Linked DNA regions of Callithrix jacchus. The protein of the gene in region 2 purifies or fractionates together with the protein of the main gene of each other region. This does not show direct contact. Links are inferred from orthologs where the notes say so. Each region holds a gene or a part of one and is shown on either strand. Other genes may lie near its edges. The genes, in order: COPRS, RIOK1 and CLNS1A.

Region 1 (4,110 bases), on a different chromosome or scaffold from region 2:
GACGTGCCCAGCCTATCTTTATTATATATTAAATTTCTTTGAATATTAGAGTCTATTTTGGAACATTTGTATTTTGAACTTTTGTACTGTTTTCTTGTCATTTGTTTTAAAATAAGAAAAAAAATCCTCTTTTTCCTCTCCCTTAATTAAGTCTTTGGAAGTTTCACATTCTAAATCTTATTTGGAACTTTATTTACAAGAGAGATATGTGTTGTACAGAGTAGGGAGCAAAGAGGATAGTGGTAGTCTCCTTAACACAAGGCTATAAAGGTGGCCACCTGGTGTCATCACATCCCTATATCTGATTCTAACTATTGCAGGTTATGACAATGCATCTAGCTGGTAAACCTAGAGTTGCACTGTTAGAAAGAGTAGCTCCTATGCACATGTAGCAATTTATTACAATTACTCAGTTTATCATTCACACTGGTCACATTTCAAGTGCTCAGCAGGTATATGGTTACCATATTGGACAGCACAGATAGTATAACTTTTATTTCCACCATTAAAGAAGGTTCTACTGGACATTAATGACCTAGAGGCAGTTCGCCTTGGGGACACTGACTCCTGTGTAGGAACATCTGCATAGAGAAAAAAACATAAAATTGAACATTGTGTGTCAGTTTTATGCTAAATTTTTACAGATGCCGTTTGTACTGTACAAACAATAGTCTTTGAGGGGATGAAGGAAGAGGGTCTCTCATGTGTTGATGGAATGGGCACACTTTAAGCTGATTTGTTTGAGGTTAGGTACTGTGGGAAAGGCAGGGAAGGCTGTCTTTCCATTTGGGTTGTTCCTAGCTCAGGCCCTGCCTATCCCCAGAAGCCACCTTTCGAGGCAAAAAGGAAAATAATGAGGTTGTCGAGTATCAGGCGTTGAGCGTCAAAATACAGGAGCCCCGAATGTTAGGGTTATGAGAAGCGTCGTGGCCTGTATTCTGTGTCCACCGCACATTGTAGTTTGTGTTTTAATCATCTATCGTGGTTTCTAATGGATTAACTTCGAAGACGACATTAGCTCAAGGCAGAGGTCACTAGGTTGCTGATGTGTCTTACCCACACGAGGTTTTAAAGCTGGAGCACACCCCGAGGGGCCGCGTAGGACACGCTTGGCGTTTCGCTCCCAGCTAGTCGTCCAGCCTTAGGATCTGCACGGGGAGGTGTTACCAAAATCAGTCCGGGAGATTGTTTCACATTTCGCGCGGGAGAGGGAGGGGAGGGCTCTGTGAGGCCGCGCGCCCCGCCTCCTGCGCCGCCCCGCCCCCGTTTCCTCTTGACCCTCCCCCTGCGCCCCGCCTCCTCAGCCGGGACCCCCCCCCAACCTGATTGGCCCCTCTACGGCGGATCCTCAGGGCGGTAGCCGGGCCGGTGCGTCACGTGGGCCACGGCGTCCAGGGCGCCGACCCGTGGGCAGCCGGCATGGACCCTCAGGCCGCCGGGGCCCAGGCGCAGGGGGCCGCGGAGCCGTCTCAGGGCTCGCCGCTGCAGAGCGCGCGGGAGGCGACCCCCAGCCCGGAGGTGAGCATCGCGTGGGGGCTGGGCGCTACAGCCAGCCGCAGCCTGGGGCTGGGGGTCGCGGGGCTCACGGGCCGGGCTGGGCGGGGGCCGCCGGGCGGGGGAAGCGCCTCAGGCCGACCTCGGGCCGCCCCGCGACACCGAGCGCCGTTTGGGCTCGCGCTCGAGCTGAAAACGGCCAGGCCTAGGGGCCGCGGTGTTGCGGGACTGGGAACTCAGAGGCCGTGGGTGGGCGCGCTGGGTCGGGAGGGAGGGCTGTCCCCCCGCCGGGCTCCGCTGCAGATTTAGTAAATGGAAGGGGACGCTGGTGACCGAGAGCCGGGGCCCGCTGCCAGGAGCCTGGGCGAGGGCCAGGTGAGGGCGGTGAGGAGAGGGACTTGAGTTGACGGACCTGTGGACCTCTGTCCGTTGGTGGGAATGTCCGCTAACCCTGAGCCCCAGATGATGTCACGTGCGCGCTCTCCCTTCTCCTTACTGAAACCAAAAAGGCCCTGTTTGACGCAGGGTTTCCAGAAACTTGTTTTCATGTACGTTAGACAGCTCACGGTTTTCCCGAGACCGTTATTACAGTCATCACCTGTCCTTGTTTACAGTCAGTTCCCGACTGATGGTGAGCCGCTGGACAGTAGGAACCCTCTGTTAGGGCTGTTTGTCCAGCCTAGCATAGTGCCTGGCACAGGAGATAGACATACTGACTGGATGAATGATGCCTCAAAGATGGTACTCAGCCAAAGTAAGATATGAAAAATGCAGCGACACTTATAAAGCAAATTACTTTGGAGTGCAGAACAGAATGGGACTAATTTTGTCAGGGCACAGCAGGAAGGGATAAAGGTGAGAGGCTGGTGGTGTTTGCAGAGGCGTGGAGATGAAAAAGTGCAGGGCACATGGCTTGGAGTTGGGTCCCAGAGCATGCAGAGCACTATGTTCAACAGGTTGATGGGAGTGGGGGAGGAGGGGACGTGTGAATGCCATGGCTAATTCTGTGCTCCCTCAGTGGAGGGCTGTTGAAGGTTTTGAGCAGAGTAATGATTAATTTTGTAACGCTGGGCCAGATGACTGGATGAGAAGATGGTTAGAAGGCCGTGGCAGTGATTTAGGTGAGAGGTCTGACTTCTCCTTGGGCTGCAATGACCAGCGGTTGTCACTGACTACAGGGGGTGGAATTGAATGATTAAACACAGACATGACTACATAATGAATTCTGATTGGAGCAGGTGCCAAGTGCAGTTCAGATGTAGCAGAAAAGGTGAATTTAAATTCAAGAAATGTTACACTCTTGCTACATTCCATTTTTCATAAATGGTACCTCATCAGCCCCCTGCAGGGTTACAACAGTCATCCCCAATTTCTGGAGAAGCAAACTTAGGCATGGTAATTGAAGTGATGTGTTCAAGGCCACACTCTGAATGGGTGGCAGGGCTGTGATCAAAATCAGGTCTCTTTTTTTTGAAACGGAGTCTCTGTTGCCAGGCTGGAGTGCAATGGCATGATCTGGGCTCACTGCAACCTCCACCTCCAGGGTTCAACTGATTCCCCTGCTTCAGCCTTCTGAGTAGCTGGGACTACAGGCGTGCACCACCCCCCCTGGCTAATTTTTTTAATTTTAGTAGAGATGGGATTTCACCACCATGTTGGCCAGGATGGTCTCGATCTTATGACCTTGTGATCCACCCACCTTGGCCTCCCAATGTGCTGGGATTACAGGTGTGAGCCACTGCCCCCAGCCAGAATCAGGTCTTTTTATACAGGTGGAAATATTTTGTTTTTCTTTAGAAAGAGGTCTTGGAGGTCATAGGGTTCCAAGAACTGAGTGATGGGAGCAGAGAAGCATTTGGTTGGCTGTGTGGGAAGGTCTTCAGTTAGATTAGAAATATTGCCTTCAGTGCTCAGCATTGCAGAGGAACTAAAGCTTCCCCACCTCAATGTGTCAGTGAGGAAACAATTTGATAGAGTTGCTATAAAGTTATTAAGTAACTGAAAAGGTAAAACATGGAAATGGAGGTGGCAACTGCCGGGAACAGCTACCAACCCTGTGGCTGAAGGAACAAAGAGATGAAGTTGATTAAAATTTAAAAGCTTAGAGTAAAGGCTCTGCAGAGCTGAAATTCCAACCTTTAAGGAGGAGGCACTGCCCCAGCTGGTGTAGGGGTCTCTGAGCTTGGAGGAGGGTCCTGGGACCCAGACCTTTAAAGAAAAGGCTCAGTGTTGAGGCTGGCTCTGCAAGAGTTCTCAGAACTGTGTACCGGATTCTGTGGCTGCTATAGGAAGGCATCCCTGCCACCACAGTGAAGTGTCCTGAGGTGATGCCTACATGACTAGAAAGGAACAAGGCCCCTCTCCCTCCAGCCTTGCCCAGTTTAACAGGGCAAAGCAGAAAAGTGGGTGGCAGAGTCCCAGCCCCGCATCACCAAGGGGAGTATGGAAGAGTGGGTGAAGTTGAAAGACAATAGCTGAATACTGGGCATCTCCCAGATACCCAAGTCCTTGGTAATCATTTCTTCTTCCTGCAGGCTGACTTTGCTACAGTTGACTACTCCAGTCGGGAGAGAGAGACTGAGAAGGCTATGGATCGACTAGGCAAGTAGATGGCAG
Region 2 (3,645 bases):
AATTTAATGCCTTTTCCATCTTAACCAAGCAATTATCACATACTATGGCTCTTACTTTTGCAGTTTGGGATGAGCAAAACCAGCACAAACATCTTTTTCCTTCTTCACAGTTTCACAGATAAGACTCTCACCATAGGTCTCAGCAGCTTCAGCATATGATTCTTTTCCCTTTCCTTATTGATTTGAGACAGAATCTCACTCTGTCACCCAGGCTGGCATACAGTGGCATGATCAGTTCTGGGCTCAAGGGATCCTCTTGCCTTAGCCTCCCAAGTGTCTGGGACTACAGGTGCTCATCGGCAATGTTTTAACAGAGATAGGTATCACTTTGTTGCTCAGACTGGTCTCGAGTGATCATCCCTCCTTGGCCTCCCAAAGTGCTAGGATTACAGGTGTGAGTTCCTTGTTAAGAATGGTCACCTTTTCACTTAAAGGAAGAACTTTATGGCTTCCCTTAGGCATACCTGAAATTCCAACATCATTACTCTTGTAATTTATGGCTCTTATTAAGCAAAGTAAGGGTTACTTGCACACAGGCACCACAACACCACAGCAGCTGAACTGAGAGCCAAGACTACTCAATGACTAACGAGTGGGGAGTGTTGACAGTGTGAAGACGCTGGACAATGTGATGATTCACATCCCAGGCAGGATAGAGGAGGACAGCATGAACTTCATCACACTACTTAGGACAGTGTGCAATTTAAAACCTATAAATTGTTTACTTCTGGAATTTTCCATCCATTTAATATTTGCAAACGATGGCTGACTACAGGGAACTTAAACAGAAGAAAGTGAAAGCATGGGTGGGGGAACTATTATATAGTCGTTTAGATTCCAGAAACATCAGCTGGACTATAAATCTCCCTGAAATGGCTCTTCAGTATTTACCCTGGTCAGCTCCTTGTGCTTCATGTGAAATGTATTGAGTTTAGTGTGTGCTGTCTTTAGGCAATGACCAAGGTGCTCCAATGGCCAGCCCAATCTCTAGATAATGTTACCACTAAAAGTCAAGTTCACACTTAGCTATTTAAACTGTAATTAGAGGTACTTACCAATAATGTTTTCAGCCATCATGATCTAGCTAGATCCTTGAGCAAAGAAACGTGAGAGCGGCTGTGCTCCCACACTAAAGAAAAAGGGAGGCTGGGCGTGGGGGTTCACATCTGTAATCCGAGCACTTTGGGAGGCCAAGGCAGGTGGATCATGAGGTCAAGAGATCGAGATCATCCTGGCCAACGTGGTGAAACCTCATCTCTACTAAAAATACAAAAATTAGCTGTATATAGAGGCGCTCACCTATAGTCCCAGCTACTCGGGAGGCTGAGGCAGGAGAATCACTTGAACCTGGGGGGCGGGCAGAGGTTGCAGTGAGCCAAGATTGTGCCACTGCACGCCAGCCTGGATGACAGAGCAAGACTCCGTCTCTAAAAAAAAAAAGGGGAATGTACTTCATTGCTTACCTTTTTATCAATGTCGGGGTCAGTGGTGTGTTTCTTGGGGCGAGCATGATCTCCCTGCTCTTCAGAGTCTGTGTCAGAGCACTCAGAGCTTCCAATATCTTCTGAATCAGAACAAGTCTTTTCCTCCACTTGATTTTCTAGGAGTGCAGGGACCTTGAAATTATGAAAGAACCATGTTATTCTAAACCAATTAGTTATGTGTTGTTGTTAAATGTGTTAATGCCAGAATTCAGATTTTTGGTTTACAAATAATATGCTAAAACTTACATCCTGTACTGAAACATCAAAACGCCAGAATGAACATCAGGAAGGAAATATGAAAGCAGCCATTCCAAGTGAGGCTCAAGAACATACCTAAATGAAGGAACCAGGGCTTGACTGGGGGACCTAGACCAATGACACAGCTGTTCTGCTACTTTCAGCTAATTGGGAGCCTTTAGTTGGGATTGGGAAAGAGGTGAAATACACACAGAGGTAAAAAAATATAGATTTATACAGATAATTTCACAGCTGTTTTCCTGTGAACACATTTCTAGCAATAAACTAATCCAACTGAGAGGGAAAACAATATTCAGAGACGAGAAATTTTCATTACTTCCTGAAATTTAGCAGTTGTCTAATACAGTGCTTCCTAGTAGTTCTTAAGAGAGTAAGGGTTTCCTTTATATAAGAAAAAAAGACATATCTTTAGAAGTCAATTGTACACAAGATTTTCTAGCTCACTGCAATAAAATCTTCATGCTTTAGAATCCAAAGTGGAACTTCCTTATGACACCTTTTATTATAACTCAGAAATACAAAATACCAGAATTCCCCTAAAATTCATTCCACGGTTTGAATTAAATTCAAATCAGTTTGATTTTAAGAAAGCAAACTGTGATCCTTTATTTGAGTCTTCAATTAGGAAGATTTAAAAAGATAAAGACTGCTTTTATGACTGCCTAAGTTAGAATTACTTAATCCCTACCCTTCTAAAATGTAAAACAAAACAAGATTGTTTTAAGAAAAAAGAACATTACAGGAATCCAGCACAGCAGGACTGCTGAACTCCTGACACTGTTTTTTAACAAGTAATATCCTGGTAGGAGACCACATTCTATACTGTTTCCCTAAGCCAGTTGGAAAAACCATTAAGAAGCACAATGGCTACCATTAATAACCCCACAAATGACAACTAGGATACAAAAAGATAAATATCTCACCTGCAACAACAGAACAATTCAGAGACAGAATGAAAAATAAATCAATTTGTGTTTAGAAAGAACACAAAAAGGGCATTTCAGAAGATGTCCATGGACTTTGTAAGCAATTATAAAATTTGAACAAAATAGCATTAATGTAGTTCTAATGATATTAAATAAAAAATAACACAACTAGAGTTTTATATCCTTTAAAAGTGTTTTCACATAAACACACAGTAACACATGTTCTTCATACCTTCTGAACTCCTGACAAATCTTTCTTCAATCCTGTGACAGTTTGGTATAGAATCTTGTAACCAAAAGGAAAAAAAAAAACAAAACAATCAACACAAAACTAGACAGTGAAATATGCATATTGCACTATTAAGAACAATGTGAGCTAAATACTATCTCCTATGATTATAAAAAGGCATCTAAAATTAATCTCACTGTAACACAGGAAGTTTAGAATATGGACACTATTTCTGTCTACCAGATGTACTGGCCAAATCCAACCAGCCACCTGGTAGTTGGCTAATTTTTGTATTTTTAGTAGAGATGGGGTTTCACCATGTTGGCCAGGTTGCTCTCAAATTCCTGACCTCAAGTGATACACCCACCTTAACCTCTCAAAGTATTGGGATTACAGGCATGAGCCACTGCACCTGGCCTACCTGGTAGTTTTTACAGATAAACATTTGCAACCAGTTTGAAGATAGCAAACACAAACTTTTAGACCCAACTAAGCAAATATTATCTGCCCCTCATCAAATAATTCCATTCTTCTCTAGTATACTTGTATTACACAAACCTGTATTCAGTTATTATTAAAGTATTTCTAATTTCACAAATAAAAATTGAGGGTTTTTTCTTTTGTTACATAAGGACCTACGTAATCACTTCAATTTTGTTTCTTGGCTTGCAAAACCTAAAATATTTACTATCTGGCCCATTACCAAAAAGAAATTTTTCTTAAATGATGTATATTAAAGAAATATATG
Region 3 (4,325 bases), on a different chromosome or scaffold from region 2:
CTCACCACCCCCAGAGTACCTGGGACTACAGGCACACACCACCATGACTGGCTAATTTCTGCATTTTTTTTGTATTCTTTGTAGAGACGGGGTTTTGCCATGTTGCCCAGGCTGGTCAAGAACTCCTAGGCTCAAGCTATCTGCTCATCTTGGCCTCTCAAAGTGCTGGGATTGCAGGCATGAGACACCTTGCCCAGCCTAAGAATTTTTTAAAAACAGATAAAAACTTGAAATGAGTTATACTTCCTTAGTGTGAGAATTGTATTGTGGTTATACAAGAGAATGTTCCCGTTCTTCTGAGATACAGGAAATGGAAAACAGGTCTGCAATTCTCAAATGGCTCAGAAAAAAAAAAAGAGAGAGAGACATAAATGTGGCAAAATGTTAATTAGATTTGAAATTTTTTTTTTTGAGACAGAGTCTCATTGTCAGCCAGGAAGAAGTGCAATGGCACAATCTTGGCTCACTGCAACCTCTGCCTCCTGGGTTCAAGCGATTCTCCTGCCTCAGCCTCCCAAGTAGTTGGGATTACAGGCACACGCCACCACACCCTGCTAATTTTTGTATTTTTAGTAGAGATGCGGTTTCACCATGTTGGCCAGGCTGGTCTTGAACTCCTGTCCTCAGGTGATCCACCCCACCCGTCAGCCTCCCAAAGTGCTGGGATTACAGGCATGAGCCACTGCACCCAGCCTTAGGTTTGAAATTTCTTTTTTTTTTTTTTTTTTAGAGACGGGGTTTCACTGTGTTAGCCAGGATGATCTCCATCTCCTGACCTTGTGATCCGCACGCCTCAGCCTCCCAAAGTGCTGGGATTACAGGCATGAGCCACTGTGCCCAGCTAGGTTTGAAATTTTTCAAAATGCAAAAAGAAATACAGGACTGCTCCTCAAAAGGAGTTATAATATTGAAAGAAGTGTCAATATACTTAAATGTCATGAATAAAAAAGGAATGCCTGGAACTAAAAATGTATCTGTGCCCCATCTTTCACCACTTATAAGAAACTGCTTTCCCCAATTATCAAAGATTTCCTTATCAATACTCAATATAGACTCCAGATTTTGTTTCTGACTGCTCCTTCCTACTTTCTCAAGTCCCTTCTTCTTCTGTGACCCACCTCTTAATACAGGTGTATCCCGAGGATTCTACACTTGGTCCTCTTCTCTTCTGGGATACCAATCCATTTCCATGAGTATACGCTAATACTTTCTCTAACGACTCCCAAACATCTCTCTTTAATATCACTTTCCCAAGACATATGTTTTTGTTTTTTTGACAGGGTCTCACTGTTATGCAGGCTGGACTGCAGAGCACAATAACGCCCACGGCAGCCTCCACCTCCTGGGCTCAGATGATCCTTCCACCTCAGTTTCCTGAGTAGCTAGAACTACAGGCCACCACCATGCCTGGCTAGTTCTTGCAGAGACTGAGTTTCACCATGTTGCCCAGGCTGATCTCAAACTGCTGGGCTAAAGCGATCCACTCGCCTCAGCTTCCCAAAATGGTGGGATTACCGGTATGACCCACCACACCCGGCCCAAAACACACTCATGTGTACAACTATTCCACACATGTCCTGACCAAACTCATTATCTGCTTATCACATCAATCTTGCTTTTCCTCCCATCCTTATGTCTTACCTCAATGACTGGCCTGAAGCCTAAGCCTTGATCAATGCCTAAATTTCCCTTTAAAGCAACAGTTCTTTACAGTTTTTGTAGTCTGGATTCTCTGGGAGGCAGAATTTTGGCCCCACGACCTTCACTTTCTGGTGTCACGCCTGTGACTATGTTATATTACATAGCAAAAGGGACTTCGCAAACGTAATTCAGCTTATCAGTTGACAGTAACATTGGTAGATTTTATCCTGGATTTTATAAGTGGTCCCAAAGTAATTATATGAGCACTTAAAAGTAGAGAATTTTCTCTGCCTGTAGACAAGTGATGGAGCAAAAGGGGAAGCAACAGGTATCTGAAGGACAGGAAGGATTCAATGTGTCATTACATACTTCAAAATAAAGAGGACTACAAGTCAAAAACAGAGACCTCAGTTCTACAACTACAGTATTTAAGGAGGATCTATCTGACTGTGAAAATACAAAAGTGCTCCAGGTGGTCAAATAAAAGGGCAATTCCTTCCAGGACCCCAAAACGGGAGACTAGTCCCTCTGCATATGACCCCTGTCTGTGTCGGGTGAAGAGGTGTTCCTCCTTAGTATACCTACAGAAGAAAATCTATATTGTGTAGTATCCAAAGTTTCAAAGTCCTCCACAATCTGCTCTGAAACTACATATCCCGCAGAAGGGACCACTTCCTGCATCTGTTCATCCGAAAGACAGGCACACTTCAGACCCTTAAAACGAGACCGTGCGTGAAGGGCAACGCAGGCGCCAGACCTCCCGTAAACAGGAGAGTTAACAGCAAAAAGAAAAGCAGCACAACCCATGAGGGGAAATTACGGCCGGAGAAAACAGAATGGAAGACTCCGGAGGAGCGCCAGAAAAACCGAGTCTTCCACCCAGTACAGGTATCCATGAGGCGTCCCAGGCACGCGCCCCCGCTCCCAACAGCCCACTAGGTCGCCCCTCGCCTGGCTCCTTCGCACCTCCTGCGCCAGCGAGGAGGAGGCCGGCGCTGAGGACCAGGAACCCTACCTCTCAGCGATGTAAAGGGTACCGGTGCCAAGGCCCTTCCCGTTCAGCACAGCCTCGGTGTCTGGCTGCTGCCGCAGGAGCCCCTCCGCCGGCCCAGGCGGCGGGAAACTTTTGAGGAAGCTCATAGCAGCAGGGAATCCCGCAACACAGGCCCTGAGGGAGTTGGGGCACAGCAATACACGCACAGCGCCGCCCGCCCCGGAAAAGGAAGTTACCCCGGAAGAACAACAGTCGGCCAGGAACCTGAGCCCCGTCAACCATAGAGATGAGACATTCTAGGAAAAGCGTCGGAGGTCGGCTAAGACCGAGTTGTTTGACCGCGGGACGGCCCTCCCTCTCTTCCTCGCCATTTCTGAGGTTCTGGGCTTCAAATAACCGAGAGTTCTGTGGGACTCTCTACCTCAAGGTTGTCACAGTGAAACCGCCATTGCAAAATTATAGTTGAGACACTGAAAGCGACCTATCCAAATCCATGTTGTTTCTAACCTCCAAGCTGTCCTTGTGCATTCCTGGGCATACTTTGAGAGGAACTTAGTTTATAGTTTAAAGTTTAAAACAAATGATGACAGCCTTTTCCCAAAACAAATTTCCTTCTTGCTTGGGGTCTGGACTGCCTTTGTAGGACTAACACATTAGCTACAAGATTTTAGAAATTATGGTTTAGATTAGAAATTACAGCTGGAGGCTTCAAGATTCTGACCCTCCCTAAACTGCACCTAAGATCGGCCCTTGCACCTGATGGATCAGCTGCCACCACCAGATGGATAAACTGGCTCATGTGATCTTGTGGCCACCCCCAACTTTTTTTTTTTTTTTCTTTGAGACGAAGTTTCACTCTTGTTTGCCCAGGCTGGTGTGCAGTGGCATGGCATAATCTCTACTCATTGCAACCTCCACCTCCTGGGTTCAAGCGATTCTTCTGCCTCAGCCTCCCGAGTAGCTGGGATTACAGACACCCGCCACCACGCCTGGCTAATTTTTTGTATTTTTAGTAGAGATGGGGTTTCTCCATGTTGGCCAGCCTGGTCTCAAACTCCTGACCTTCAGGTGATCCACCCGCCTTGGCCTCCCAAAGTTCTGGGATTACAGGCATGAGCCACAGTGCCCAGCCAGCTCTGTGAGTTTCTTTGAGATAACTTCTGTTCCAAACTGTGTTTGGAAGTTGCGATAGACATTGGACTGGGTCCAGGATCGAATTTGATCCAGTTATTAACTGGCTTGGATCCAGTTAGAGCCTTCTTACATCTGACTAGGCCAGAAAGAAACTGGTAGTACATGGTGATATTTTAGGGGTTATAAAATTTGGCTTTTGAAAATTCACAGGGATTGTTTGTGTTCCTCCCTTTTATTTCTTTTTTTATTGTTTTGTTATGTTGAGTCAGAGTCTTGCTGTGTCACCCAGGCTGGAGTGCAATGGTGCCATCTCGGCTTACTGCAACCTCTGCCTCCCGGGTTCAAGTGAGTCTCCTGCCTCAGCCTCCTGAGTAGCTGAGATTACAGGCGCCCACCACCACACCTGGCTATTTTCTGTATTTTTAATAGAGATAGGGTTTCGCCATGTTGGCCAGGCTGGTTTCGAGCTCCTGACCTCATGATCCACCCACCTCAGCCTCCCAAAATGCTGGGATTACAGGTGTGAGCCACTGTGCCCAGCCCCTCCCTTTGATTT

What was found.
Region 1: the proteins of RIOK1 (region 2) and COPRS purify together in Homo sapiens (affinity purification with mass spectrometry; 3 studies listed by BioGRID and IntAct, with this or other methods). This does not show direct contact. The link is inferred for Callithrix jacchus from reciprocal best matches to the Homo sapiens genes RIOK1 and COPRS.
Region 3: the proteins of RIOK1 (region 2) and CLNS1A purify together in Homo sapiens (affinity purification with mass spectrometry; 3 studies listed by BioGRID and IntAct, with this or other methods). This does not show direct contact. The link is inferred for Callithrix jacchus from reciprocal best matches to the Homo sapiens genes RIOK1 and CLNS1A.

What each region holds. Positions count from the first base shown.
Region 1 is NC_133506.1:102,327,989-102,332,098, forward strand, and holds the start of COPRS (coordinator of PRMT5 and differentiation stimulator), read left to right. Parts: upstream 1-1,302; 5' UTR 1,303-1,419; coding exon 1,420-1,518; intron 1,519-1,579; exon of another isoform or gene 1,580-1,806; coding exon of another isoform or gene 1,807-1,869; intron 1,870-2,108; exon of another isoform or gene 2,109-2,218; coding exon of another isoform or gene 2,219-2,248; intron 2,249-4,028; coding exon 4,029-4,095; intron 4,096-4,110. UniProt on the Homo sapiens protein: Histone-binding protein required for histone H4 methyltransferase activity of PRMT5.
Region 2 is NC_133505.1:23,042,393-23,046,037, forward strand, and holds part of RIOK1 (serine/threonine-protein kinase RIO1), read right to left. Parts: intron 2,955-3,645; coding exon 2,901-2,954; intron 1,617-2,900; coding exon 1,464-1,616; intron 1-1,463. UniProt on the Homo sapiens protein: Involved in the final steps of cytoplasmic maturation of the 40S ribosomal subunit. Involved in processing of 18S-E pre-rRNA to the mature 18S rRNA. Required for the recycling of NOB1 and PNO1 from the late 40S precursor.
Region 3 is NC_133511.1:62,961,667-62,965,991, reverse strand, and holds the start of CLNS1A (methylosome subunit pICln), read right to left. Parts: upstream 2,864-4,325; 5' UTR 2,782-2,863; coding exon 2,657-2,781; intron 1-2,656. UniProt on the Homo sapiens protein: Involved in both the assembly of spliceosomal snRNPs and the methylation of Sm proteins.